Linked DNA regions of Alligator mississippiensis. The protein of the gene in region 1 purifies or fractionates together with the protein of each later gene. This does not show direct contact. Links are inferred from orthologs where the notes say so. Each region holds a gene or a part of one and is shown in the gene's direction. Other genes may lie near its edges.

What was found.
Region 2: the proteins of KPNA1 (region 1) and ADNP purify together in Homo sapiens (co-immunoprecipitation; 3 studies listed by BioGRID and IntAct, with this or other methods). This does not show direct contact. The link is inferred for Alligator mississippiensis from reciprocal best matches to the Homo sapiens genes KPNA1 and ADNP.
Region 3: the proteins of KPNA1 (region 1) and TCERG1 purify together in Homo sapiens (co-immunoprecipitation; 3 studies listed by BioGRID and IntAct, with this or other methods). This does not show direct contact. The link is inferred for Alligator mississippiensis from reciprocal best matches to the Homo sapiens genes KPNA1 and TCERG1.

Annotation. Positions count from the first base shown.
Region 1 is NC_081824.1:238,040,668-238,050,932, forward strand, and holds the start of KPNA1 (importin subunit alpha-5), read left to right. Parts: upstream 1-6,344; 5' UTR 6,345-6,454; intron 6,455-10,265. UniProt on the Homo sapiens protein: Functions in nuclear protein import as an adapter protein for nuclear receptor KPNB1. Binds specifically and directly to substrates containing either a simple or bipartite NLS motif.
Region 2 is NC_081832.1:12,680,108-12,690,175, forward strand, and holds the start of ADNP (activity-dependent neuroprotector homeobox protein), read left to right. Parts: upstream 1-5,724; 5' UTR 5,725-6,038; intron 6,039-6,849; exon of another isoform or gene 6,850-7,032; intron 7,033-7,605; exon of another isoform or gene 7,606-7,806; intron 7,807-10,068.
Region 3 is NC_081832.1:64,408,775-64,419,149, reverse strand, and holds the start of TCERG1 (transcription elongation regulator 1), read left to right. Parts: upstream 1-6,031; 5' UTR 6,032-6,053; coding exon 6,054-6,139; intron 6,140-6,602; exon of another isoform or gene 6,603-6,714; intron 6,715-7,316; coding exon 7,317-7,542; intron 7,543-10,375. UniProt on the Homo sapiens protein: Transcription factor that binds RNA polymerase II and inhibits the elongation of transcripts from target promoters. Regulates transcription elongation in a TATA box-dependent manner.

The DNA of each region.
Region 1 (10,265 bases):
TGCAGCTTATTCTTTATTTTTGCCTTCCTGATTTCGTTCCTGCAGGTTCTTGCTATTTTCTGATATGCTTCCTGGGTGACCTGCCCATTTTTTCCATTGCCTGTTTGCTTTGCTTTTCATTTGAGGCATCCTAGAAGCCACGTTGCTCTCTTACCATTCATCTTGTGCTTCCATCATGTGAAAACAGTTTCTTGTTGGGCTTTCAATAATGTGGTCTTTAGACGCTCCCAGCCGCCTTTCTATTTTGGGCTGTTTTCCCATGGCACCATACCTATTAATTCCTTGAGTTGGGTGAAATTTGCCTTTTTGAAATCTAGCATCCTAGTTTTGCCACTCTTTGCTTCCCTCATCTCAGGATCTGGAATTCTGATCACTTCCTTCCAAGATGCCCACCAAAGGAATCTGGAATCTTCCATGAGTTCTTCCCTTTTGTTTAGGACAAGATCCAAGGTAGATGAGCCCCTAATTGTATCCTCAGCCTTCTGGAACAGACAGTTGTCCTCCACACAAGTTAGGAACCAGCTGGACATTGTTTAACTGTGTTGTTTCATAGTTGCATAGTTTCATAGTTGGTAGGGTTGGAAGGGACCCGAGCAGAACATCAAGTCCAACCCCCTGCCATGGCAGGAAAGAGTACTGGGGTCAAATGACCCTGGACAGGTGTTCATCTAGCCTCCTCTTAAAGACCCCCAGGATAGGAGTCAGCACCACTTCTCTTGGAAGTTGGTTCCAGATCCTAGCTGCCCTGACTGTGAAGTAGCGCCTCCTGATATCTAGCCTGAATCTACCCTCTGCCAAGCTTGTGACCATTATTTCTAGTCACTCCTGGTAGTGCTTGGGGAACAGGGACTCCCCCAGTGCCTGCTGGTCCCACCTGACTAGTTTGTAAATGGCCACTAGATCCCCCCATAGCCTTCTCCTGTGGAGGCTGAACAGGTTCGGGCCCCTTAGCCTCTCCTCATAGGGCCTGCCCTGCTGACCCCTGATCATGCAGGTGGCCCTCCTTTGGTCCCTGTCACAGGGCACCTCGGTGCCCCTGCTCCTGGAAAGGAGAAACTGCCAGGGAGCGAGTGAGTGCGCCCTGGCCTGACATAACGAGCCCAGCTGAGGCTGGCTCAGGTAATGAGCGCAGCTGCGGGTTGCCGGAGCAACCAAGGGGAACCAGCTGCCTGTAGGAGGCAGGGCCTGGCCCTTATAAAGCTCAGGGCTGAGGCCAGGCTGGCAGTTCTCTGCCAGCAGCCGGAGAGGCAGGAGCTCCCTCGGCCGAGATATGGGGAGAAGCCCGACGGGCAAGTACAGCTCATGATAGCCCTGAGAGGATTGGGCACAATGGTTAGCCAGGGGGCTTTATGTTTGTGTTATAGCCAGGAGGCTCTAGTTTACGTTTGGCTCTGTATATTACACCCGGAGGTTTGGGTGAGGCTGTAGGGGTTGGAGGAGGCCTCAGCGGGGACTCACAGGGGAGTGTGAGACCCCGGCGCCAGTGAGGGCGCGCTAGGCCCTGAGATTTACAGGGCAGAGTTGTGGGCTCAGTGGAGCTCAGAGAGGAGCAGTTAACCTCAATCACAGGGACCCCAGAGAGTGTGGGGTGCCCTAGCGCCAAGAGGGCGCATTATTTTCATAGCGCCAGGGAAGGCGCAGCTCGCATGCCAGTGCGTGAGCAGCTGGCGGCGAGGAGCGCGGCCAGTGGGTCGCGGGCGCAACCCGTAGGTTGCGGACAGGGACCTAGACCCCGGATTGCGTGTGGGGGAACATAGACCCCGGCCCCAGGAAAGGGGCGGTATTATTGAGTAGCCCAGAGTGGGCACGGCGAGCCCCAAAGAGGGGGAGCGCCATTGTACGTTATTGAGTAGCCCAGTGTGGGCACGGCGAGCCCCAGAGAGGGGGAGCGCCATACTGAGCAGCCCTAGAGAGCGGGGCCATATCGAGGAGCCCGAGACGGGCATAGCGAGCCCGGCCGCAGGCTAGTGCGGTAACACCCCTCAGACCGAGGCAGGGCGCTGCGGTTGCCCCGAGAAGACAGGGAGTAGCAGCGCGGTGAGCCAGGGTCAGAGAGGGTGCCCGTGCGGTTGGCCCATAGGACCGGAGGCCCGCTAGAGAGTCCCTGGGCGGAACCACACCAGCAGGGGAGGCCCAGAGTGGGCCAGATGAGAGTTCCAGCAAGAGGCTGGGCATGAGAGAGGGAGCCCAGAGTGGGCCACACTAGAGAGGAGGCCCGGGAAGCGGGTGTACAGACCGGACAACGTCTATTACATCTGCGAGGCTTGGGGCGTGGTATTAGGGGCTGGTAGGAGCCACACATAGCCCATAAGGCTAGGGTGTCCAAGGAACACCCACCGTATCGGGAGACCCCCAGGGGGTCCGGAAGAACCGCGGGGACAGAGGTCTCGAGTAGCCGTGCCCAGGGAAGACACAAGGCAGCCTCCCAACATTATATTGACCAACAAGACGTGGCGGGCGAGAATTAGAGGGTGTCTTGGGCCGGCCTGACACGGAGCAAGGGACCTTGAGGAGATCACGGCCCTCCGCGAGGACCCCGCCGTGACAGTCCCTCTCCATGTTGTCTGCATCCCTCCTGAAGTGCGGTTCCCAGAACTGGATGCAGCACTCCAACTGCAGCCTGACCAGTGTCGCATAGAGGGGGAGGATCACCTCCTTGGACCTGCTTGAGATGAATTTGTGGATGCATGACAAGGTATGGTTGGCCTTCCTGACCGCATCCCCACACTGTCGGCCCATGTTCATATTGGCCTCAATAATGACGCCAAAATCCTTCTCTGCCTCTGCACTGATGAGAAGGGAGTTCCCCAGCATATAGGTCTGCTGCTAGTTCTTCCTCCCCAGGTGCAGCACCTTGCACTTGTCAGTGTTGAAACCCATCCTGTTCTCATCTGCCCACCCCTGTAGCCTGTCCAGATCCAATTGCAGCCTATTCCTTCTAGCGTGCCCACTTCTCTCCACATCTTAGTGTCATCTGCAAATTTGAACAGGGTGCTTTTTACCCCTTTGTCCAAGTCGCTGATGAAGATGTTGAATAGTGCGGGCCTGAGGACTGAGCCCTGCAGAACGCCACTGCCCACATCCCTCCAGGTCGAATAAGATGTCTGGAAAACTGCAGCCTCCAGCAGATGTCTGGAAAACTGAAGCCTCCCATCAGTACCATACCATAGCTTTTGGATAGATTTATCACCCCCTTGAAGAGTGCCTCATTCATCTTCTCTTCCTGATTTGGGAGCTTGTAATAAATCCCCATCATTATATCAGTGCTGCATCTTTCACCTTTCATGTTCATCCAAACGCATGCTACTTTTCTGTCTTGTTCCCCCTAACCAGGGCACAGGGTAGTAAGCCTACCCGGTCACAAAGCACCAAAAGAACAAAGGAAAAAGCTAAACTTACTGCAGTGGTGAGCCCGAATGGGAGAAAAGTCATGCTGGAATTCCCAGATGGTAATTAAAGCAATCAGCTGTGACAGCCAGCAAAGCAGTGAATGGGACACTGAAGCTGAATACACAGCTGATCAGTGCGGGAATTTAAAAGAGAGCCGACTGAGCAGTCAGCTCTCCTCGGGTGAAGGGAATGGCATGGAGGGAGACCCGTGGGACCACAAAGTGACAATGGTGGCATGCAACCAACCTAAGGGACTCAGGAGAGTATTTTGAAGAAGTACTTGCCCACGGAGCAGGAAGGATGAGGTCGTTGGAGCATCCAAACCAGTGAGTCTGAGTCCGGTGGGTGTGGGACTGCAATCCAGAGACATGAAGGAGGGGAAAGAAGAGACCGAGCGTGAACATGAGTTTGGGGCATTGGCCCAATATAATCGTGTCCTGAAGGATAAGGGTAGGGACAAGCTGTATGATGGTCTGCTTGGGACCCGTGTGGGAAATAATGGGGCAAGCAACCAAGAACAAGAAACCGGCTGCCTAGAAATCAGTCAAGGCAACCCAGAGACTGAGGCTCCCACAGAGGGGACCTAATGAGATTACTGCTGAAACATTTGGTGTGGTAAGGACAGGGGATGGGAATAGGGGAGCCCTGTGAAGAGGAGCCAGTCTTCTAAATTGTAGATTTAACACCAACTTTGTCTCACAGGACTGTGTCCATCTTTGGTTCCTTCCTTTTCCATCTAAGTTGTGGCAGGTGAGTTTAAAGGAGACTATCCAGTCCAACAAGAGGCTACAATTTTACTTTGGTGGCAATTGCAAACCTCAATGTGATATTCCAGTCATAAGAGCTGTCCTATCGGGTCTCTATGATACCGATCAGGTTATATTTCTTTCACAGGCTACAGCTTCCAGATCATCTTCTTTATTTCCCACACTTCCTGCATGTGTGTACATGTATTTTGCATTTTGATGTACTTGCTTCTTTTTTGCACCACTTGTTGCTGTCCCTTGGCTCTCTGGCACCTTTCCCAGAGTTGAATTGCTTATTCCAGTCTTTTCCCCTCTGGATCGTTTGCTCTATTACTGGAAGATTTTGATCACCACCCCCATAATTAATTTGAAGCCATCCTTACTAGGTTGGCCAGACAATGCCCAAGATGCTCTTTCCCGTTCTGGTCAGTCAGACCCCATCACTTGATAGCAGTTCTCCTCCCCAGAACATCCATCCATTGTTAAAAAATCTGAAGCCTTCATGCCAACACCACCATCTCACCACACATTTATTTCCATGGTGGTCCCTTCCTGGGCCTTTCCAGGGAGTATCAATGAAAACATCACTTGTGCTCAGTCTCATGCCAGGAGCCTCAGGAATCTTTAAAGGACACTGCTCACTGTTGCTCCTGGCAGTGTTGTTGGTATCTACAAGGACAGGCAGGAAAGGGTTGTGGTCTAAAGGATAGATGAGCTTTGGTAGTCTCTCTGTGACATCCTGAATTCAGAGGCAGACACACATTTCTCAGGACCCCAAATGTAGTCAAGCTGGTGCCTCTGTCTGCTGCAGCAGGGAGTTGACAAACGCCACTCTTCTCTTCCTTCTTGGAGCAACGGCTGTAGAGCCCCCTGTCCCTGGGGCCCTGTAGTTCCTGCTCTGTAGACTGCTGAGTCCTCTGGGTTGTACTTTTTCTCCTTTCCTTGCCTCTGCCTTTTCCTTAGCTTTTCCCCCTGCTGTTCTAGGATGTCAGGGGAGGGGGATTTCACAAAGAACAGTGTCAAAAAACACTGATTCATCTGGGTGGACTTTTTAAAAAGGTATTTGTAGGATAGAGTTTACAATACTTGAGAAATTAAAAAAAGTGTCATGTTGGGCCTAACTTAACTATGTCACACTTACCCCACACCTCTTTTGTACACATGGGCACCTCCCTTTCATGGTGCAGTCCTGTAGCGCTATGGTTCCAGACTGAGTTAAACCATGTTGGTGTTGCTTCCTTGTGCAGCGCTCTCAGAAACACTTCATGGCAGAGGACAGAAGCCCTCGTGCTGCAGGCAACTGGTGCCCCTGAGGCAAAGGCAAATGCAAGGTGCACGTTTTTGCCAAGGATTTTGTGAAGGTCCTTTGCAAAACATCCTCCCCCTTGGAAGGACTGCAGCCCCTCTCCCCTCCTCCAGAGGAGCCGCACAGCTTCAGGCAGGCACTGTGACCCGCCGTGCAGCCAGTGGATGCGACGCAGTCCAGGCTGTTGAGAGAGGACGCCATACGCTATGATGTCAGTTGCCCCTGCCAAAGACAGGCGTGAGGGCAGTGTTGTCAGGTCTTAAATATGAAATTATCGCATTGGAAGTTCACAATGATCACATTTGCTGCAAAACTATCGTACACTGAACAAATATGCAAATAAGTATACAAATACTTGTGAAGGAGTGGGAACTGGATCATCAAAGTTGATGCATTCCTTTGAGGCAAGACATCATAAGAAAGTGCTGACGGCAAGCCGCAAAGTCAGCTACAAGTCCCCAAGAACAATTTGGGTTTCGCATCTCTTGCATAAATGAGATGCCTCAAAAATTATCGTTCAGCCCCAGAACTTTTCGTGTAAATACGGTAATTCTCGCACCCCCCCCCCCCCGGTGACGAGGGGCGCAGGTAGCAGTTCTGGCTCAGCGGCCCCGCCCCCGCCGCTAGACCCCGGGTCAGGGCCGGGCGGTCAATGACGCCGCCGCGCATGCGCGGGAGCCCTGAGTCGCCAAGGCCTGGCGCTGGAAAACGGGTTGGAGAGGAGAACGGCGTGTTGCGCTGCACTCTGGGAGATGTAGTCCCGTGGGCTCGCCCGGCCGTAGTAGGTATGGAGTCTGTGGCTACTAGGGTCTCGCCTATTCCGCCCCACCCTCCCCGGCCGGAAGTGGGCCCCGTGTCCCAGCGGGCTGCGCGCCGGCGCCGGAAGCTACGCGCCGAAGGTCGGCGCATGCGCGTAGAGGTCCCAGCCAGCTCCGGGCAGGCAGGAGCCGTGCCCGCGCGCTCGGGCCCGACACGACACGCGGCGGGGCCGGGCCGGGCTGACGGGCCGCAGGTAGCGGGGGGCGGGACGGGGCTGCCCGTGTTGGCAGAGCTCGGCCGGGCGGGGCGGACGCCGGGGCCGCCCGGGGTTGGAGGCGGCCAGGCCGGGGCGGCCCCGGGCGGGAGGGGGCCGGCGTAGGCACACACCCTTGGTAAGCGGGCTCCTGCCCCGGGTTGGAGGTCGCTACGTTCAGTGAGTTGCTGGTGGCCCGGCTGCCCCCCGGCTCGGGAGTGCTGCTGTGACTTGGGGCTACTGTTTCTGCAGGCAGAGGGGGCAGAAGGATTGGGGCTCTCCTGTCCTCATGCTGTCCAGCCTCACCTCTTGCTCTTGGTGACAGCTGTGGCAGTAAGGGTGTGTCTGCAGCAGCCCCGGGTGTGACTACTGCTCATGTAAACATACCAATGCAGGCTTTAAGCTGCCAGCAGGGATCCATCTCCTATTTACCTAACTTTGTGGGTAGATTTTGCATCTGCATTGAACTCTGCGCTGTCAGGGTTGCACTGTTTTTTGGCATGTGAGGTGGCTAGCTTAAAGCCAGTACAGATACAGCTACATGAGCTGCAGTCATATCTTTGACTAGTGGTGCTCAGCTTTTTCCCTTGGTGGGCCAGATGGGCCTTACTTGGTCTGTTCATGGGCAGGTGTGGTGTGGCTCCATCCAGCTGCACAGAGGGGGCCAGGAAACAGCCCTGCCCAATCCAGTCCTGTGGGGGCATGTAAGGACAGTGAGGAAGGGGTTACGACCTGCCCCCAACCCAGCTGCAAAAGATAGGAGCAGTAGGTGTGTCCCAACCCCAATTCAGCCGGGGTGGGGCATGACCCAACCCTGACTCAGGTGGGTGGGCGAGGTAGGGAGTGTGGCCCAGACCCAACCCTGAGGTGGGGAGAAGGAGGCATGGCGCACCCCAGATTTGGCTGTGTTGAGGGAAGGGGCCATGGAAATTTGGCAGCGGGGGGGGGGGGGTGGCCATTTCTGTTTCACCACTAAATTTCTGTATCCATGGGGAGCTCTGTGGGCCAAATGTGATGGCTCTGCAAGGCCACATTTGGCCTGTGGTTCAGAGGTTGAGCACCACTGGTGTAGGCAGATCCTTAAAATTGTGGCATAAAAATTGGGAGGGTGGCTGGATGGGTTGCATCACCGAGGAAACCTTGAGAATAGGGTTCTTATCAACAGCTGATTTCTGTTGCCATAAATTTTCATGTAGGTGCAGTTACAACTTTGCTTTCTGGTAGAATGCAGCCACCCCTGGGAATTAGAGACTATCTGCTTTTGGTTTATTGAGGTCTCCCTCCATTTGTTTAAAAACATTCTGTTGTATCACATCTTGGCTGCTGCTGCATGTGACATGGCTTTTTCCTTTTTAACAATCAGAGTGCTATATACTGGTGCATTTGCTACAAATCTCGTAAATATGCTGATGGGAACCCTGGGTCTTATATACTGAGCTCAGTGTTGTATTTCTCTTGGATAACCAATTCACTTAGAAAGGAAAAAAATATATAATTAATGCTACATTACAGGAAAAGAGCTTGATTTACTCCCAATAAAGTAGGTTTGGGTTTTCTTGTTACAGGTTCTTCAACAGTTGCTGAAACATTCTTAACGAGGGATCTTTAAGCTTAAAACATGTATTTAGTTGCCTTGTCTGATTTTTTCAAAGGGAATAGTGTCATAAGTTCAGCGCTGCTGTGCAACCCGCTTTTTCTGCTCAGTCAGCTGAACCTAGTAGAATAATATGCTTTATTTGAGGCTGCTGTTCTGTAGTTGTAGGGCTTGTGTTGATTTCCTTTTAACTGTTTGTGGCTTTTTTCCATGAGAGTGTGGAATGTTTTTCAACAGTTGTTGTTCTGGAGGGACAAATGACAGATTGACTTGAAGTATGCTTACGTGTGCAGAAGGAAAACATTTCCCTTTTTAATTCAGGGAAGTATGGCCATATAGCAAGGTGCATGAAGTCATTCCAAATAAACCACTGTCTCTTTCAAAATGGAAAATAAGTGAAGAAAGGAGTGTATAATAGGTCAGTGAAATATAGGGATTAGAAGAACTAAAAAGGGATGGAAAAAGCAAAGAGTATATATGCTTTCAAGTGTATCAGATACAAAATTGAAGGTTCAGGAGAATCTTTTTAGGTGTTCTGGGAGTTGAGGGAGCAATTGAGAGTAAAATCTATCTAGAGAAAAGCTAGATGGCTGCTTTCTTCTTTACAGCAGCAGATACTGGGGAAATACTAGTTTCATACTTCATCTGTTTATTAATAAACAGATAAATAAGTCAGATATTGAGATGCGCTAACAAGAGGTGTTAGAATGCATCATGGAGCAGCAAGTCAGCAGGAGCAGATAGTATAGATCCAGAAGTTCTGAGGGAACTTGTGGATTGCTCTGCTAATAGAAGTGTGCAGTCTTCCATTAAAAGTTATTACTAGCATTGGGAGAATTGGAAAGAAATACGTGTACTTATTTTAAGAGAATCCTGGGGATCATCCTGGGAACTGTAGATGAGTCATTGGTATAACTTCTGAGTAGATAAGTCAAAATAGTAATCGACTGTAACAGCTACTTAAGTCCTTAATATGAAAGCAAATCAGAATAGCTTTTGTAAAGGAAAGTTATCTATCTGGTCAAATGTAGCCTTTCAAGTCAGTGTGACAAAGGGGCTAGATGATGTGGATTCTAGCCTGTAGTTTTGGTGGGGAGCACTTTGCGGAGGTTCAGTGTAGGCAGCCTTTACTAGGTCAGGGCAGCACGTTGGGAGGAGCCCTGATTAGCTTGCATCTGGTGCAGTGGAAGGGCTTAGGTGGCAGGGGAGGTGGAGGGAAGCTACTGTGTTGCCCACAGGACAGTGGTGCGGTGGGGGTTGGTGCTGCTAACATGACAGCAACTCGGGGCAAAGGGGAGTTTGCATTGCCCAACCTTGCTGGCAGTGTGGGTGGGGGAAGCCTTATGATACTCATGTGGCATGTGTGCTACTCATGTGGTGATGGGGAAGGGTGCTTGTGCTGCTCTGCTCTGCCTGGGCTGCCCTACTTGTGCAACTGGGGTCTTGAGGACCCCACGTGGCTTGTCAGCCCTGCAATAGAGGGAAAATATAGAAAAAAAGAGAAATACCAAGGAGGTGAATGGAACACAAAACTCTAGAACTCTTGGTTCAGAGATGATACCTTTTATTAGACCAACTAAGAAATCACAAAAAAATCATCTTTCTTTGTAAGCTTTCAGGCACACACGCCCTTCGTCAGGCTGAAGGAAAATAAAAAATGGTTAAAGTCCTTATAGGTAGACAGTAAACTTAATTTTGTATGGAGGAAGCTGAAGGTGTATGTCTGTTCCTCTGGGTCCATGAGACTTTCTTTGTGTTAGTTGAATAGGGCACTTGTGCTTGCGTTCCATATGATACAAGAACAAGCGGTTGGGTTAATCAAATGGAAGAGGAAATAAATTAAAGTGCTAAAGATAAATACTACTTTAAACAATACATAATTAATCTGTAGAACTCAGTGTCACAAGATATTGCAGAGGCCGAGGGCCTTGTAGGAGTCAAAAAAGCATTAAACATTTCTGTACAGAGAGGGAAATAAAAATGCTGCATATCAGGGGTCAGCAATGTGTGGCCTGCAGTCTGGATGTGGTCAGCAGATGTGGGGCTTTGGCAGTGGGGACCATGGGTGTTTCTCTGTGTACTGCTGTGGGGAGAAGCCAGCTGCAGACCTGCCTGACTGTGATTCAAGGTGGGTTATTCCAGCCCAGAGCTGGAAAAGATTGCCTACCACTGGTGTATCTAGTGTGCCCTAAGGCATAAAAATTGTGCTGACTACTA
Region 2 (10,068 bases), on another chromosome or scaffold:
CAATGTGAAACTTGCTTTGACTTAGCACTTGACATCATAGGTACAGACTTTTACTTTTACCTAAGATGATGCCCTCCCCCTGGTGGCTGGAGCAGAGCTGAGTGATGCCCATGAGGGTGTGGGGACAGATGCAGGCTGCCCGCTGCAGGCTTGGAGCTCCCCCTCCTGCTGCCCTCCTCCCAGGAGCTCCACACCAACTGCACCACCATGGTGAGTTGCCCCCTGCTGACCACAGCAGCAGCGGGGGGCACAACTCCACGCTGCTGCACCCACTGTCAGACAAGCAGGGGCCACCTTGCCATAGTGATGAAATCGGTGCAGAAATGCCAGGGGAAAGGCAGTGAGGCAGGAAGCCCTAAGCCTGCAGCTGGCAAAAGGGCAGGGAGCAGACAGCCTGCATCTGCATCCACCCCTGCCCTGTGCACAAATCTGGGGGGCATGAACCCCCACCATTCCTCCCTCCCTGGGAGTGTGTGCAGCAGCAGGGAGCCCTGCCCTGTCCCTGGGCCCCATATACCAGCCTGCCTGGGCAGTGTACCCAGGCCCAACCCCTGCTCTACTCCCTTTCTCACCATGGGGGCCTCAATCTGTGTCCCCTCCCTCCCCACCCACACACACAGACTTACCTGTAGGCAGCTGGTGAAGCAGCTCTCCACCGCTGCCTGAGGCTATATTCCCAGGTCACGTGCATGTATGCACACATGCATGTGATGCCCCCTGCGTCCTGCTCCCCACAGTTCCTTGCAGGCTGGAACTCTGGATCCCTGCATGATACTGGGAGTCTGGGACAAATGCCAGCCTGGAGTCATGCAGCTTGGGACCAGTTCCCATTTTGGGACTGTCTCAGTCCTGCCCAATTAGGGACAGGGTGGTCACCCTACCCTCTTCCCAACGCCTCGGGCCCCAACATACCTGGCGCCTATGCTTGACATATTAAGCCTTATTAAGATTAACGATTGTCTATGGATTTAAAAGGCACAGAAGCCCTAAAGTCTGCCATTTTGGACTTTTAGGGATACCTGTTTGCGAGAGAGCTGGCCTCCATTTTTTGTCGGCTTGCATGGGATGCACCTTAAACTGGCTGGAGACTGAAGCTGGTGCAAAAAACAACAGCTGTTACAAAATACAGCACCTCCTTGTGAGCAATTGGCACATTTATTGTGGGATCTACACTGACTGTTCATTGATCTAAGTAGAAGAATTGCATGTGTCCCTATCTGACGGACTGCCTTTCTTGTCAGGCCATAATGCCATTGCTGTGGTCATAAGGGGCACCTGAGCTGGTATTCTTCATTATAAAAGAAAGGGGAAAATGGTGAGAAGTTCTCCGAGTCCCTGGTCCTTGATCTGAAAGAGTGAATTTGGTGACTTTCTGACTACACTGCCAAAGACAGCTGCATGAGAGATGTTTTAAACATGGCTGAAGGGATGGTCCCGCTATAATGAAGGAACCAGGTAGGCTGATTGACTGGATAAGTTCCTGTGAAACCAATTATTTTAATTCTTATTGTAACTGCATTTATCATATAATTAATGTTAGGGTGCTGAAAGCCTAGGGATAGGCATTTTATTATTTTTAATCTAGGGGGAGAATAAATATTGCACCGTTATTAAACCAGCGCACTTTTTATAATCTTTGACTAGGTTGGTAGAACATCACACCTTTAGTTAAGCTCATGTGACTTCTGTGTTTTGACAAGTCCTGACTAAACAGCTTGTCTGGTCTGTTACTCAACTTTCAGTTTCTTTGTGATGCTATAATTTCATTGTTCTCTGGTCCTCACCTCATAGTTTCCAACAGGGGACAACATCTGTTTTCTTCATGTAAAAAGCAAGCAGAGGAAAAATGTTTGTCAACTTTGCTGTTTTGCCTTACAAAGTGTCAAAAATGGGGAGATGGCCTTTCTACTTCTCCTTCTCCCATCTTTGCAGGTCATCTTAAACACCATTACTCATGTTCCCAATCATGTTGCAACCTTAGTGTCAACCTTGACTCCTCCTTCCTTCTGTTCCACCTTGCTAAGCATTTGACCCACTGTTTCTATCACTGAAGTTAGGAGGAAAACTCCAACTGAATTCAATGGAAGCAAGACCAGCTCTCTCATGTGTTATTTCTTATACAATATTACAAAAATTCAGCCTTTGCTCTTTGCTGCAACTATCAAAGCTTAAGCTCAAGACCTAGCAATCTCTTCCATTGACAGTAATGCCAACTGTCGCAAAACCATTCTGAGACTTGGAATATCAAAGTCAAAATAATTCCGACTTGCGATCTCCTGATCCAGCCCTCACCAGCTGGGAAAATCCAGACATTTAAGTGTAGGGAAAGGGGTGGGGGAGAGGGAAGGGACTGGGAGGAGATCGAGGCCCCCACGGTGAGGGAGGGAGTGGGGCAGAAGCAGGGGTAGGGGTGACTGGGACCCCGGGCAGGGGTGGGCTGTCCAGAGGTGCGGGGAAGAGGCACAGTTCACAGCAGCAATGCACATCCCTGGGGAATGCACGGGGGCATGTGTCCCCCACAGGGCAGAGACGGGCTGGGGCTCTGCACCCTGCTGCCTTGGCCCAGGAGCTCAGCCACACAACCCCAGTGCAGTCAGGGGACTGGAATGACAGCTGGAATGTCCATAGTATAGGTGCATATGGAGGACAGGGAAAAGAGAACTGAATGTTTGCCCTCCAGATGTTCTGAGCTGCCAGAGTGGCCTGCAGGTGACTGGGGGAAACTCAACAGTAGTTAGAGAAGGCTCAGGGCTGGTAGCCATACCCAAAAATAGAAGTGATGCAAATATGACTTCAAGCCTCGAAAGCTCATGTCTCCTGGGTCACAACTCTGCGGTTCTGAGCTGTGCTTCTCTAGACACTCTTTCCTTCATACACACTTGCATTTTCATATTACCATTAACATGAGGAACAGCTTCCTTTAAAGCATTTGTAAAATCTTACCTCTGCTTTCCATTGCTTCCTCCTTTGTTTCATGAATCTTGCTCCTCTTCAGTTCACGCAGCTCTCCCTGTATGCTTTTCTGAAACAAACGTGCCTTCAGACTGCAAGCTCTGTGGTCCAGGAACTTTCCGTTTTTTTCATGTTTTTATTATGGATTTTACTTGCTATAAAAGCTGTATCCATTGGCAGTGCTACATAAATAATTACTAATGCAGATTCTAAGAAAGTTTCTGAATATCAGAATTTACAAAGCTTTCCTCTTTTGGTGCTCTCATACTTTCTTTGATACTCTCACAGATTTTTTTCTTCATTTTTTTTCCATGTGGTAGGAATACCATTCAAAATTCCTGGAAAGAGAAGTGTTACTATTATACTTTAAGGAATGACTTCAACTGACAAATAAAAGAATAGCCATTTATATGTTACATGTAATAATCTCCCTACAGTTCCTAAGCATAATGGCACATAACATAATTAGTTTACTGATACATCCCTCTCAGCCCTCCAGTTTCTAAATGCACCCAAATACCCCGAGGATTGTCTCAAATCTAAATTAATGCTTGGCGACTTCAATTGCATTTATCTGTAACTACTATTCATTTTCTTCAGTTAGGTATTTTTCTGTTCAATGTAAATCATCACCATTACTTAGGAGCATCTGCTCAGAACAGGTAGCTGCCATAGAGGTTATTCTTCTACCACAATCCTCTCTGATAGCCAATCTAATGTAAAGTTGTTGTTTTTTTCTTTTAGGGGTGAGGGGAAAGACTGTGTGAATAGTAATACTGTATTAAATGTGTTGCAGACAGCAAACCACTACTAAGATTGTAATTGGCTGTAAAAGGAAAACCAAAATTTTAACCAGCTAGAGCCAAGTTAGGAAAATAATAGCATCTGTTGTATTGCAATATCAGCAAGTAATAGCCAAAATGGGATCGAGTATAAGAGTAAGAGAAAAAAAAAAAAAAAGAGGGAAAACGTAAATGTCATAAAGCTTCTGTAGATCTGTTTTTCTTCTTACATACACTTAAGTGGACGTGAAGTTTCATAGATTTCATAGACATTATGGCTGGAAAGGACCTTGGAAGATCGAGTCCAGCCCCGGCCCGTTAGCTGTTTGCATCTAACTGATCTTGACTGATCTACATTTATCATAAATACTGTTCATCGTATTTCCTTATAGTGCACTATAAGGGGTTTTTATAAACACGTACTCTTGCAAAGCAAACTAAAGTTATGTAAAAGTCAAAACACTATTTTACTTTGTTTAAAAGTTGCAAAAGCATCGCCAGGTTGCACGATTGAGACCAACTCAACCTCACCTTTCTAGAAGCCCAACAGCAGTAAACAGCATGAACAAATTTGTTGGTACAAATAAGTCCTGTGTGTTTTCGTTCAGTTATAAAGGAAATACTTTTAATGACTTACTATTTCTTATGTTCACTAAAGTGAATTTACTGCGAAAATGCATGTTTAAATTCTGGAATGATTTGCAGTCATTGACAGAGTAACTGCTAATATCTAAATTAAAAAAAAAAGTCTTAACCAAGGTAAAGTTTGTAGTATTTACTACCTATCTCAACATGAACATAACTCTTTGTGCAAAGCTTCCTCTCTTCCTCTCCTTCCCTGTCCTTTATATTGAAATGGCTTTATTCCTTTTCATTTAGTACCCCACGTCTTTTAAAAGTCCGTCCATAGCATCTGACAAAGTCGGCTGCGTCCTACGAAAGCTCGCGCCTCCTTGAACGAGTCAGGAACCACCTCGCCCCACGTCAGCATTTGCAAAATTGGAGGCATTTAAAAAAAATACGGGACCTAACACTCGTGAAGCACAAGTAACTTCCGGCAAGCGTTTCTACGTTTTCAACGACGATTCGAAGAACTTGTCGGGTCGCTCCCTTGGGGTCCGAGGGCTTCAGGAAACTGACATCCCCCGCCACGTGGTGCGCGGGACAGACCAAGCTGTTCTGCCTTGTGAAAGCGTGCCAGCACTTTGAAACGAATGGAGGCCTTTCGTCCCTTGTGACCTGGCCTGTAGCTTTGGGCCCCAGTGCTGAGGGAGGGCGGGCCGGCCGGCCGGCCAGGCGCTACAGCTCTGAAATAACACCCTATCCTTGTGGCCCTACAAGGACTCTTGACTGTCCCTCCTCCCTCACGCCTCGTGAGGGACGAGGCACAGCCGGGCTCCCCACGTGCTGCGCGCTGGGCCCCCAGCCCGGGCCCTCGAGCGGGGAGCGGGTGTGAGGGCGGCCCCACCCCCCGCCTGCGCGCGCACACCAGCGCCCCCCCCCTCCTCCGCACACCAGCGCCCCGGCACGAGAGTGCGCGCTCCGCCGGGGTCACGTGGGGCGTCACGTGGCCCGTGTGCGCCGGACTCGTGCTCCCGCCCCGGAGCGAGGGGCCCCTCTGGGCAGGATGTAGTCCCGGCCGCGGCGGAGGGATAAGCGCGAGGCGCCAACTCCCTCTCCGGCCCAAGCCGCAGGGCGCGGCGCCTCCTAGCGGAGCCGGGGCAGATCCCGCCGCCCCTCTCTCGCGAGAATCCCCCTGCCTTCCCCCTCACTACCTCCGGCGGGGTTATGTAACCCGCTCCCCCACCCCACCCCGGCCTTAAAGGGCCCGCGCCGCGGGGAGGGGATGGGGCCCGCGCGGGCCGCGCTCCATCGGGGCTCGGGCCCCCTCCCCCCCGGGGCGCGGCCCCCTCCCCTCCCGCCGGACAATGAGTCCCGTATGCTAATGAGAGTCTCGCGTCACTTCCGCTCTTTCTCGGCCGCCATCTTGGCCAGGGCAGGTTCTGGGCAGGAGGGACCCGGCTGTATTGTCTGCAGGGCGCCCGGGACCCCCGCCCCCGCCCGACACCCCCGCCCGGGGCCGCCGCCCGCTGCCCGCCCGCCCGCCGCCCCCCCAGACACGCGCCTCCCGCCCGCCCGCCGCCCCCTTTGTCTCCCCCGCGCCGCCGGCTCCTCTCCGCTCCGCTCCGCTCCGCCCGCCCAGGGACCCGGGCGGCGCCAGGGAGGCAGCGCCGCGCACCCCCGCCCCCCGCCGCGGTGCTGCTGCCGCGCCCGCCCCGCGCCGCCGAGGAGCGCCCCAGCCAGGTAGGTGCGCGCGGGTCCGAGCCCACCCCCCCCCCCCTCCGCACACATGTTGCAAAGACTTCCCTGCCCGGGCCCGCGTGGAGGTGCCCCGAGTGCGGCGTGAATGGCCGGGGCTGCGGCGGCGGCGGCGGCGGGGTGGGCTCGGCGGCCGGGCCGGGCGCGGGAGGGAGGGAGGGAGGCCGGACAGCGCTGCAATGAATGGAGCCGGGGCTGCCTGCTGGAAAAGGCGCGATTCATGGCCGGTGCCTGGAGATGGAGTAACGTTCAGCCAGCCACCCCCTCCATCCCGGGCTGCACCTCCTGCAGCCCATTGCTCAGACAAAGGCAGGGGAAATAAAGCCCCGCGATGCTGCTTTCTGTCTCTGCCACTGCAGGGTCTCCCCCATGCCCCCCTTCAGATTGCCTCAGGTGATGCTTGCAGGCGCCGTGGCTTTGCAAGAATAAATGCACCTAAGTGTGTGGTCCCTTTTTTTCTTTTTTCTCTCTTTTCTCCCCCCCCCCCTGTTTCTTTGCATTCAATCTGTATTGTTGCTTCTGGTATCTGGCCATGGAAGAAAAATACCAGCCCCCACCCAAAATGCACCGCAGCCAAGTCGGTGGCGAGGAGAGATGAGGGTTGGAGTCAGTAGGGGGCGCGTTCTCTACACCGGGTAAGGCTGCTGCAGAGAGGGGGAAGGGCCCCAGATGCACAGAGAGGAGCTGCCACACAGCGCCTTCTACAGACCTGGGAAAACGGGCCTGGCCCTGAACGCTCAGTTGCTCTTATGAGCTGACAACAGCCTGGCGCAGGGTTTAGCAAGTGGAGCAGTGATTTAAAAAATCTGATCACTTCATTTATTTGTTTTCTTTTTTTGAAATTGCAGCTGCCAAAGCGTGTTCTTGGCATCACACCTGAGTTTCCCTTGCCATCCTTGGTACTGCTTCCTACTTAATACTTTCATTCAGTTCGTAGGGGTGCGTTGACTCTGCCCACTTGACTCAACTGTTAGCACTCCTGAAGTTGACAAAATACTTGTATTCAGAACTTGTACAGATGAAATGGGGAATTTGAGAGAACAAGAGCATGTGCAGGATTTCTGCCTCTTTACCAGGCTTGCGTACTGAACTCCATCGAGAATGTAGTAATTGTATAAAAACTTGATCGTGGCTTGTGGTGCCATCTGCTTTATAAACTTTGCATGGCTTTTTCACACATTCTGAATGCATGGCAGTAGCGATGTAGAAACTTTAACAATATGGTGTGTTACTCGAGCGCTGAATGCTTTATCTGTAGACCGACTAGGCAACATGCTGGTTGGACTCTTGGAATTCACTAAAGTTTTGATTCCCCCCCCCCCCCCCCCAACTTGGTAATTTAAACTTTTTGACAAAGGCATAAGAAAGAGGTTTTGAATATTTTAAGGGAAACTATGACACATGATGCTTCTGCCAGCCTCTCACTTTCAACTGAATATTGAGTATTTTGTTTTTTGTAGAGGAAAATATGCACTTGAGGAAAAAGGATGAGACGTTGTCGCCACATGTGCAACAGAGCATGACCTATGTTATTCAGTAAGAATAAATTTACCTGGCTGCTTGGTAGCAGTAACCTGTATTACGTGCAGGCAGCTTGCATTCAGTTTCCTGTTCCTGGGTCTCAGCTGAACCATCTGGAAAAACTCAACTTTCACTCCAGGAGGATTGTAATAGTAACAGCCAAGAGGATTCACTGGCAGTTACCTTCCTTCCAGATGAGGAAAATGGGCCATCTCCTCAAAATTGGTTATCACTTTTAATGCAAAACAAAAAGATCAATTAATGATCTGCACTATTCTCGATATATATTTACAGATGTTAGACAGTGATTTGGTATTAACATCAGTGTAGTGAAGTCTCAGAGTATTAAAAGAAATGACAGATGAGAAATATACTCTGTTGCTACTAAAAATTGCCACTTGAGGCTGATTCATTGTAACATGGTTGTTAAATCTTTGTTGAAGATGCTTTTAGTGCACACTAAGATAAACCTCAATCAGAACAGAAAAGGTGTTATTTTTGATGCACAGTTAACATATATCTATACTTGAATATTAAGTAGAATGTTAAAATGTGCAAAGAAAACTGACAGTTGGCTTTTATTAGACATACAGGTTATGAATATAATATAGTACTCGGTGTTTTGGTGGGTTTTTTGGTGAGAGTTTTGCTACTTCAGATTTACTTTGGAAAGTGCGTGCAGTACAGAGGTAAAATATAGCAGGTCATGAGTTCAGAACTAAAATTGCTAGGAAGATTCTGTAATCTTCAGTGAGAGACTAAGAAGCTTCTCAGTATGTGTAATACACAGTACCATTTATCAGAAGATGTCCCTTGGCATTTCTGAATTTGGTATTAACTATTTCCAAGGATGCCTTAAAACACTTTAAGCAAACAAATAATTGAAGGAACTTCAGCTAAACAATTTGTTAACTATGTACTTTCTGAAGTGGACTCTCTGGGTTATGAATTGGCTCTTAAATTAGAAATTCAGTCAGCTTTAACCCTTCTAAATAAGTGCTGGTATAAGCCTACTTGATAAGGTAAGTTGTGCTTCCCATCATGCTAGCCTGGATAATGGATAGTTGTTCCCTCCAGTTTTAGCTTTCCATAGTAATTGAAAATATTGAAACTGACTATTAAAAGGTCTATAAAGCAGTGTTTCTGAAATGCGTAACCATGTCTCAGCAACATGGGGTTGTCAGATTAGAAGAGTGCATAACAAATCTAAAATGTACATTTTATGACTTCAATGGTGAAGGTGGCAGCTGGCTTGGTTGGTACAAAGGAAAAAATGGAGTAAATATTTGGTTAGGAGAAGACACAAGAGTTTAGGAGTTCTGACATGCCTATTTTGGGAGATATGGTATATGAATGGTTTTCAACCTTTTTAGACTTGGGGCACCCTTTGGAAAATGCCAGCTCTTTGTTTTCACTCATTTTTTGACTTTGGAAAAATAACAGCAACTTGTCTTGCAAAGAACTCAGAAAGACCACAGTAAGTCAGTGTTTTTAACACTGTGGATTCCTATTTTAAATTCCTGGGCTTATCTTGTGAATCATGTTTGCACACCTACCAGTGCTAACATTGTGTGGCACCCCTGAAAGCATCTCAAAGCACCCTGATAAAGAATCACTGCTGTAAATTAACAAGTCTCTGTCCTCTTGGAGGCTCAGATGAGGTGTAGAGTGGGCAGACTGGCAGTATGCAAGCATCAAGTAAGCAGATCTGGTCTGCATTTTATAGAGGTGAAGCTAATTTCCCCACTTAAATATTTGTGAAATCAGATTTAGAGAAGGAACAACATTGAGGATAAGCATACTGAGATTAAACCATTATTATCTTCACCAAGATCTGAAATCTCTAGAACTTTAATTCAGATGCCAAAAGAGAAATCTAGTAAATAACTATGCTGCTTACAGTTGTTAAAACAAAACCGTGCTTTACTGGAAGAAGCAGTGCGTTAGTTTGACCCGGCTCCACAGCATCTGCATAAACCAGGTGCTTAGACCAATTATTAGACCAGTCTAATACCTGATTGAATCAGCTTTAGCTAAAAGCACCAAAAAGCCACACTAAAGCACTTGATCTATACAGAGATCAGGTGAGCTGTGTCCAACTAACACGCTGCCTCTTCCGGGCACGCACTGGGCTTGGTGTGGGAGGGCACTGAGTTTAAAGTAAAGCACCATTTGTTTTTGGTTTTAGTTTTGGTTTTTTAACATCTGCAAGAAGCCTATCTGACTTTTAAAAATGTGCTCAGTTGGTAGTCACTGGCCTTAGGATACTTAAGCCCCATCTTGATGGGTGGATAGCAGATAGTTGGTACTCCCCACCCCTTCCAATTTTTAGCGCAGTTGGGATGGTTTTTCAGTGATGCTGTACTCTGAATGCTCATTAAGATTCAGCTAACATGCTGATTTGAAAGTTAGCAGGCCTTGTTGGACTGCATCTAAACAAGCATTCAGAATCCTTTTCAGTCATGTTAACCTGAGCCTGATCTACGCTCTTCAC
Region 3 (10,375 bases), on another chromosome or scaffold:
CCTTTACTTCCCCTTCTTCCCCACACATGCATTATGGAGCTTTCCTCACTGCTTTGAGACTTCTCTCCTTTTTTCAGAGATAAAATAGATGTTTGGCCAAGTAGCAGCAGCATCTAGATCTGTCCTTGATACCTGATCAATATTGGTGGAATGTATCCGATAAAGCAAACCATCTGCAGGCATTTTAGAGCATTCCCAGTATCAACTGCCTGCCATTTTAGTAAGAATTTGGTTACAAAAAGTATCCAAAATTCTGAGTACGTTAAGGGGCTTTGCTCTTGTCTGCAGTGAAAATGGCTCAGTTGATTTAAACATCTTGAAGAAAGGAAGGGAGTGAGGATGGAGGAAAGAGGCATCTGAACTCATAAGCTTTTAACATTACAGGACTGTAAAGGTTCAAGATTTTAATTCTCCCAATTATACTGGTTCAACAAAAAAATGATTTACTCTAAAAGGAAGAATCTAATAGAATATAGTGAGGGCAGGTGGCCTGGGCACCATGCTAATCGTTTGCTTAACCGTTCTTGGATGATGAGCCTGACAAGCCAACATGAGGCTAAAGGAGGAATTCTGCCAAGTCGACGTGGTTTGCCTCAGGCTCAGCCTACTCCTAGTTCCTGCATAAGGCAGCATGCGATGCACCAATTCCCCAAGTACATTGCTTCAGTCACGGGGCACATTCCATGGACCTGGTAGCAGCCAGAAAGCCAACTGCATCCTTTGCATCCTCAGGCAATCCTGATGGCAGAGTCTCCTGGGAAACCTACTTCTTGCCTAACTTGCTCAGCATGCCAGTATCTTATTCAGGGTGGCTGATTCATTGCCTTCTATGACAGAATTTGGGATGGAAAGAAGGACAGTATTTATAACTGCGCTGCACTACCAAAACACAGGCAGCTGTTTTCCAGCAGGGAGACAAATGGGCGGTATCAATGGGTTATTATGCTGGTTCTGAAAACGACTGGCTGTTTGGCCACAGTTTGTAAGGTAGCTATATGCTGATCTGCATTCTTCTTCCTTTCTCTGAACTGTGGGTTTCTCTACACAGTGAATTAGTTGGAAATAGCTAGGGTGTGAATTTAAAGTTCTTCTGAATGGATTATCCATGTATTCTTGTTCCTTGTTAAGAGTATCTTTAGTAGTTTAGATAAATTCATGCCCAGTTAGGCTTTTCTTGCTATGACAGTGGCATGTAAACAGCAGCTTGTAAACTTAGTGCAATGACCAAGAATCAATCCAGATTTGTTGTTCTTGTTTATTCTGTGCATTACCCCACAATAAGCTAGGTGCTGTACAAATAAAGAGGAAGACGTAAGCTGACCCGAAGAACTTAAATGCCAAATAGACAAGAGGGGCCAACAATACACTATGCAATAAATGACAAATGTAAATGGACCACATTTTGTAACAGCTTTGTATTCCTTCTACCACTGATTTCCTTCTCCTCACTGGTGTGGAAGGTTCTGCCAACATGCCTACAGACTGTTACCCTCATGTTGGTCCTTCCAGCCTATGCACCCACCAGTGATGCAGAAGCAATATAACATGCTCTCTCTATCATCTTCATGGAGTGAAGTGGTCTTTCTCTTGCTGGGTTTAACTAAAAGTGAGGACAAGGTCATGTACCAAAAATGGTATTTTATTAAAAATTCCTTAAAACTTAGATTGAATTTCTTTCACAACACCATGTGGCATCCATTCAATTAATAATTTCAAAGCCCCAATGAATAAGGAGGTGCAACATCTTATTACGGTCTTTCATTGGCCTTCTGCCCTATTCTATGTTGGCTTTAGCACAGGAGTCCTGTTCACCTGTCTCTCTGTGATGTTTTGCCCACATAACTCATGTGTGTTTGACTGTAACCATGAAGGCAGGAAGGCACCTTAACATCTTCTGGCTTTCAGGAAGTGAGGTGCTATCAGGAGACAGAACAAACCAATCAGCACGGCAGAATTTCCACATTCAACCTTATGGGAATCTGCAATTCTGTATTTAGCCACTAAGTGGTGCTGGAGGAAGCTATACATTTGCAGAAATTCAAGCTGCAGGCAAGATTGCAGCATGAGTTATCAGCAGACACTGTCACTTTCTCCTGAAGTAGGGACCCAAGTAAGGCCAAATCCACACTGGTATGAAAATATCCGTACACTAAACTGAATGAGCACTCCTTATGAGCATGAAGCTCTACTGTTTGAACCATACAGTAACCCATTCTCATGAGCAAAACAGGCTAAACTGCTAAAAAGGGGTTTCTACCAGCAGTCATGTGTCACCACATCATACTTTTTCACATCCCTGACAGACGTAGTTATACTAGTACAAAGTCTGTAATGTAGACCCAGCCTAAGGAACAATTCCCTGGACTTAAGAATGCAATGCCTCCCATGCAACCAGGCACAGGAAGAAGATGCATTTTTAATTCCCACCAGCTTTGCTCCTCAGAGTGGAGCCAGCCTAGAGGCCATGCCCTGCCTTCTCTCTGTTCCTTGTAGGAATAGCTAATACTGCTAGAGGAGCACTGCTGCAGTGGCTCTAATACTGGCAGTTCCCTGCCCTTGGACCATAACATTTAGGGGCAGGAGGCAAACTTCTTTGTAGCCTTTCTTCCAACTTTATGCATCCACTCAGAGGCCAGTTGCAGTCTGGTGTGATGAGAGGGATGGCTGATGCTTGCTTTCTGAGTTGCTTAACTTATTTCTGCACAAAATGCCAGTTGGCAAAAGGACTTCTTCCTTTTTTTATATTTTAATAAAATGTAGCTGAAAAAGCAAATCACAAGTTCTTTTTGATGCTTAGATACATTCACCAAAGAGCAAGTGAGACAGACTCCACTTCTGTGCAAACTCACTGTAGACTCCCATCTGTGACTGCATGAATATTTGATGCTAGTGGCCAGTCTACATGCCCACATTACTGACACTTTTGCCCAGAAGCTACTGTACAATTATCAGCCATAAGAATAACTTAAAAAGAGCTCATTCATTAGCAACATCAAAGGAGCTGGGGAAATATTTTTTCCAGTTAGAAATTTTACACGTCAGGCCACATAGGAAAGAATCTTACATCCTAATAATCCAAATGACTGGGAGCTGTAAATAGGACATAGTGGGAAAGAGGGACCTTGTAGACACAGGGTAACATGCTGGGTTTTAGCCACCACACCAAGGCAGGATTTCTATAGCCTAAATTGTCTTCTGTTCTAAGCATCAGACCTCACTGAAATGACCCAAGTTTCCCCAAGAGGTGAAAAGCCTGTGCCCTGGCACAGAATTTTCCGATGCTATACTGTTGTGTCTTTGTTCTTGAATGTTCTCATTTGAGACATTGCCTGTTTAATTCCTAGTTAAGTCCATTTATCACTGCCTACCATAGCAATCCCTACACTCTGCTACTTATATCACCAGTAATGTTACTGCACATCAGATAGGCCCAAGATGATCTGACCACCTCAAAGCATAAGGCTACTTGGATGAAGTGAGTTTTGGTTCAGGCATCTCTCTAGGATACTGATTTTTGTCCCATGGGAATTTTCAGTCTATATAAAAAGCAATAGATAACACCTAGCATGACATGCTTATTTGTTACCACCTACACACCTCTTACTTTCTCATTTCTGATTTTAAATATTCTAATTATTCTTCTAGTATCCATGGTTGCCAAGAAAAACTTCTGAAGCCTGATCTGATGCCTGGTTTAGTAATAAGGTGGAGACAGGCTGTAAAAGCTGCCTAAGGTTAAGGTAATTTAATAATGGATATAAAAACATCCACCTCACGTGGGCATTACAAGGTTTAATTAATATCTATAATGCAATTTGGGAACTTTAAATGAAGGATGACATAAAAGTGGAACCATATTTCTAAGAATGTATTTATTATGATTCCTAACATACATGTTAAATCAAAACCAGGGCCCTGAAGTTTTTCAGCACCTGAACAGACTGAAACTTGAGATCATTTCACACTACTGCTGTTCAAGGGGATCTCCTAGTGAATGAAAGGAGAATTGCAAAGAGCTTGTATGGAAGGAACCTTGTATATTTTGTATCCAGATAAACCTTCAGCAAAGTAGCATGTCATCTTTGACATCTATACTGTGCATGAAAAGCAAAGGCAAAGATATTGAAGCAAAATCTGAAGGAGTCATGACTCAAAATTCTCCCTTCCCTAAGCAATCTCCCCTCACCACCACACCCCTCTGTTAGAGCCCTTCCCAAAGTTAGCAGACCGACAAGCCGTCTCTGGCTGGGACAGAAGCAAAGTGCAGAATAGACCCAGCTGGTAAACTGGAAAGAAGTCTTAGGTAATCCCATTTCCTAGAACTTTAAGGAAACTTTTATTTATGGTCTTTGGAAAAAAGGATGGTCTCTTTTTTTATACCAGTTTTGTAAAAAGCCTACAAGGAGCTCTTGGTCCATGACTCATTAATGATGTAGGCTCCGAGGTGCTATTGCACCTTTAGTGATACATCCCCGGTTTGCAGCTAAGGCCCAGTTCTACTTAAATATTTCTTGTAATTGTTAACTTTATTAAAATCTTTGACTAGCCTAACCTTAAATGATGTTTCAAGGCGATTTTGAAAATCTCTGCCATATAATAATGGGGTTTTGGACTCTCACAAAAACACCAGTCACTCAGGGCCTGGCTCAGTGAAAATTAGGGGCCAAATGGTGGGGAGAAGTATGACCTGATGGATATTGGGAAAAACAACTGTTTTATAAATAGGCTTTCTTCAGAACGAGACTGTAGAGAATTGGAAGTGTTTATTTCCACATAAGTTGTCCCATTGTGAAAGTTACAGGATTCCAGTTTGCCCAGTTGGACACTTTTAGCATAGCGCCTTGCTGTGTGGGCAAACTTCTGCTTACGCTAACGCAGCCAGTGGAGTTAGTGAGTGGTTGTGCATGGCAATGTTGCCACCTTGGTGATTTCATTGCTATATTTAACAACTTTTTTGGTTCCTATTGGCAAAATGTCAGTACCAGGGGCCCTGGATCAGTTAACTCACGCAATACCCAGTAAATTGTCTAGGGATGTTTTTGACACCTCTGAAGATCTAATTTTGTCTGGACAATTCCTGTTTTCAGGGCTCAGCAATGCCAGTGCACAAGGATTTGCTACAGCCTATCACTTTCAATTGATGGTAGGCAACATTCCTTACCTCAACTATTAGCTTGTTTCTCGTAAGACTTGTTACCACACAGCTAAACTAACCAAGTTGTGCCTGTCCCATGTAGGCAAAGACAACCCCTGCAATCTGGGAATAAATTTCAACACATTAGTGGCCACTATGCTCTTAGGAGGAGAATTTTTTATATATATTCCCAATAAATAAATAAAATAGATTACACCCATCTATCTAATGGGGGTGGGGGGTATGCGGCAGGGCACAGGCCGTGCCTTGAAAGGAGCCAGAGGCGGCTCCTGGGTCGGTCCCAACCCACGTGCCGCCGCCCGCTCAGCCCCAGGCTTTAGAACGTAGAAACACGAGCCACGCAACACCCCGGCCTTATGATGGAACTCAGCATCACCGAACGCGGCCTGATTGGCTGGCACCTATCCAAACAGCCCCTCATTGGCTACCGAATTAGAACTTCGTTTCCTGCCGGGCTGGCAGGCGGCCAGGCTCTGGGGGGTGGGGCGGCGGCCCGGAACTCGTGCCTTCCCGGGATTGGTTAGGAATTCCTGATCACGCCGGTTTTTGATTGGCCGCCTTCTGATCTTTGATTGGTTCCAATCCCAGTCGCCGGGCCTGGAGGAGCGCGGGTTCTTTCCTTTCCCCTTACCTCGGATTGGTTGACGCGGGACGTGAGCTCAGTTCCGCCGCGTCCCGAGGTCACCCGCCACGTGACGCGAGGTCGCGGAGGCCGTGAGGCGGTGGGGTTCAGCCAATCACCGCTCGTCGGCCTCCCCTCATTCAAAGTCGGCGGGCGCGCGGGCCAATCCCTGTCGGTCCCGCCCCCGCGCGCGGCGAGTGACGGCTCCGCCAGCCAATGGGAGCGCGGTGGGGCCTGCGCGGCGGCGGCGGCGGCGCTGGGGCTGGCGAGGTTGCGATGGCGGAGCGCGGCGGCGGCGCGGGTGGAGGTGGCGAGGGGGACGCGGCGGCGGCGGCGGCGGAGCGCTACAACAACGAGATCAGGTAGCGCCGCGTTGAGGGGCTCCGCGCTCCTCCCCCCTCCCCCCGGTCCCGCGGCCGTTGGGCGCTCGGGGGAGGTGGCCTCCCGGGCCCTGCCCCCTTCCCCTCCCTCTCCCCCTCCCCCGCCGGGCCTGGCTGGGGCTTGGGGCGATGCTGCCTCGGGCCCCGCTTCCGGCCATCGCCTCAACTCCGCCACTCAGCTAGAGTTTCTTTTAATTGATTTTTTTCGGGTTGGAAGGGATCTTGGTAGATCGAGTCCGACCCCCTGCCCCGGGCGGGAGAAAGCGCTGGGCCGGGACAGCCCCGGCCAGGTGCTCGTCTGCCCTCTTCTGAAAGACCCGCAGGGTAGGGGAGAGCACCGCCGTCCGTCCGATAACGTACCGTGTGTGCTCGACGAACTGAAATCAGACGCGGTGTAATCGGTGCGTGTTGCCGTGCGCCTTATTGTAACCTCTGGTTTTTTTAGATTATTTTTATTTTTTTGAGTCTCCGTGCCAACGTCGGTATTGCACTGGCACTAAATGGTGGGCACAATTGTTTTCCTGAGAGCGTCAGAAGAGCGTTTGTTGGTTGCAAAGGTGAACGTTGTTTTTTTTCCTCTATCTGTGCACTTATTAAGGTACCTGCGTACTGGGCTGGGTGGCACCGCGGGTTTAGCACCTCAGCCCTTTGCTGCTTCACATCAGGGCTTGACTCCTGCCTTGGGTCACGAGTGAAAAGGATGTAGGTGGTCTCGTCCGAGTCCCTGGTGGATGCTTGTTCACGTTACAAAAGAAATAAAACCCTGGGTGCAATTGGCAGCTGTTGTTCGAAGAGCCCAGGATGCGCGTGTTTATAGGCATGGGTATATAGCAGGTCACGTTTGAGGTGCTTGGCAGATCGGTTTGAGGGAAGCTTGCACAGCACCTGCTCCTTCTGAAATCGTCCGATCCATATGTTACTTGTTTTTCTGACTAAAAAAGAAAATTATACACAAGAGTAGTGAACCTGAAATGGTGAGACCAGGGTGGGGAAACTCTTAAAGCACTTGCACTTTAAATCCTGGTCGCTGAGTGTTAAATTTGTCACATCCTTTTGGTTTTTCTAATTTCACTTTTTATACAAGCAGCACACGATTTTTAGACCATCCCATAGTTATTCAGCAAACAAAAATATATTTTTTCCTTCTGCCCTGACACAGAATGGCTCAGCAGCAGGCACTGAGATTTCGTGGTCCAGCTCCGCCACCAAATGCCGTTATGAGAGGCCCGCCACCTCTTATGCGTCCACCTCCACCTTTCGGTATGATGCGCGGTCCACCTCCGCCACCTCGGCCGCCCTTTGGACGTCCTCCGTTTGATCCGAACATGCCTCCAATGCCACCTCCGGGAGGGATTCCTCCACCAATGGGGCCTCCACATTTACAGGTAAAGAGCTTGCGAATGGTCAGGTTGCTTTCTTTTTGCTTTGATGTGGGTAGAAGTGATAAGGCAAGCAACAGCCAGAAGTCTTTAAAGCAGAGAAGAAGACAATAATAAATGCTGAAAAAGATGGGGGTCAGAGTCCTCTTAGATCAGGGGCGGGCAAAATGCAGCCTGTGGGCCAGATGCAGCCTGCCAGGCCATTCTGTCTGGCCCACGGGGCCCATAAAAGATTTAGAAAATTAATATTTATCTGCCCCTGGCTGCCTGTCAAGTGGCCCTCGATGGCTTGCCAAAACTCAGTAAGCGGCCCTTCGCCCAAAATAATTGCCTGCCCCTGTGTTAGGTGAATCATTTTGCATCAGTTTCGGAAGTGTTAATAGTAGATCACTGTTTTGATAAGTCATCAATACTAACCTAATAAAATCACATAAAAAATCATTAATAGAGACTCTTGGCCAGTGCAGAGTTGTGGTTGTCTTGCAGTGCATCATACCCTTCCAAAAACATTGGCATGGTACAGCCATGCTCAGAATTACTGAAAACCAAGCATTACACAGCTAAGGTGTCTTCTCTGCCTTTCTGTTACGTAGCCTGCACAGCCACTTGGAAGGGGTCAGTAAGAGTGGCTTAGTAAGAGATGTGAGTGATATTTATTGCTCATGTTTGACAAAGATAAATTCCAGTATGCACTGCAGCTGCAGCCAGTGTGTGGTGTTGCTGTATTTAAGGGTGAAGAGCTTGGTTGGAACGGTTGTGATGTGATGCAGATGTTGAGGGATCAAGTTTGCCTTGTTGGAACTTTCTTGAGGTGGAAAAGGAGGTCGGCCTAAGGCCTTTTTTTTTTCTCTTCTCCCTCCCCATTGTTGGTGGCAGCAGAAGAAGGTGGGCAGTTTTGGGCTCTTATTGTTGATTAGGGAGCAGTGGAGGGAAAGGGCCCTCCCATGGTCTGGTGCAGAAGCTATAGGGAGGATACGTGGGTATATGTTTGAGGGAGGAGGAAGAAGGAGAGAGAGATGGCTTGACAGGCTTGTGAGGAAGAAAAGTCACTAGAAGGAAAGGGGCCCAGCTGTCATTCCTTTTCACAGAGCTGAGCTCCTAGAGAGTAAAGGTCCTTTTGAGGGTGACCCCTTAATCATTGAGGGTTTATAGGGAAGATAATTCTATGGAAACACTGCTCTTTGACAGAGCTCTGATTACTGTCCTTGTATATCCAAATTATAAGTGATCTTTAGGATATTGAACTTATAATAGTTACTGTTTAAGGGTTTGCTTGTCCCTCAGTAGCAGTGCCGGAGCACAGCCTGAAGAGGCAAAGGTTGGCAAAGAAACTGCCTCCACGCTTTTGACATTGCTCCCACAGCTGTTGTTCCCGCTCCCTGTTTTGATCCTAACCCTTTTGCCCATACTTCCAAAGCATGCACCAGAAAAGCCCCAAGAATCTGAAAATGTTACAATTCGTTTACATTGGACGATTAGGCCTGAGGAACTTTTTGACCAACTGCCACTGAGATTTGCTCTTTTCCTATTGCAGTCAGGCAATACAGCAATACAGCAAATGGATGAAGAGCATGAGCCAAAATTGTTGCCCTGCTTTATTTTTTTTTATATTTTCTGTCATTAGTTCTCACTTTCTTTACATGCTTCTCACTTTTGTGAGTTTGCTTAGAATTCACAGCAACCCTTTAATGTAGTTGAAAGACAGTTTTTTGTTTTGGGGAAAAACTTTCAAAAGGAAATGTGGGTCATTTTGAGCTGCCCAGTTTCTGTGGCAATAGCCTGCCTGTAAATAGTCTAGCTGCATGCATGCATTTCACTCTTAAGGGTGTCAGCTTGGTAAAGACCTGGAGTTAAAAAACTATACTTGTCTCCCCTCAGGGCTGTTTATAGCCATTCATTGAGATTAGACTGACTGAGATGAGTTTGGGGAGAGTCAGGGCCCTAGTTTGAACGTTCTGTGTACACAAAATGTTTGAAAAACTAGTGATTTTTGTAAAATGCTGTTTTCAGATGGGATGGTATTGCAGGACCCTTTTACTTAACTGACCCCCAGTTTGAATCATTAGCATTATATGACACTCCCCTCGTGCAACAAATTTCAGATGAATTTGAGCAAGCAGGTTGATTATAAATGCTTACAGTAACTTAAAAAAAGAGCGCTTCTTGATCAGAATAGATAACAGAATTGGCACTGTCGAGAAAAAATTCCAGATGCTATGGTGATTAATATAACAACTTAAAATGCTATCAGACTGTATCAAATTAATGCCAATTTATCAAACTTCTAGGATTTTTTATGATCAGCTTTGAGCAGGTGGTAAAAATGTCTTTTGTCAAATTAATCCTCTAATGGAGAATCTGTTAGGTACCTGACAAAAACGTTTTATTGAATGTTTCTGCTGTGTTGAAGTTGCAGTCTTTCTCCCCTAATGTTTTCATATTAAAACCTTGAAAACCATGCCAGATTGTAATGGAATTGCCTACTCTGCTGTTGTAATGGAAAACTTGCTTAGGTTTTACATTTTCTTTGTATCTCTTATCGTGTGACTGTCCTGTGTCTGCACAATGAACCAAAGTGATTTCTCACCAGAGATGTCCAGGCCAGGTCTGTACCACAGAATTTGCTGACAGTTCTGCAGGCTTGAGGTTGTAAAAGCATTGGACTTCTCTGGCTCATGTAGCTCTGTCAGCAAAACACCTGGTGTAGGTGCTCCTATGTCAATGCTTCTAGCATATGCTGTTGTGTTGAAGCGGTAGAACTGCTGGAAGAAATCCCTTCTCTGTTGGTAGGCTGATTTTAGCAGAGCTGAACTCCTAGAAAGTAAAGGTCCTTTTGCGG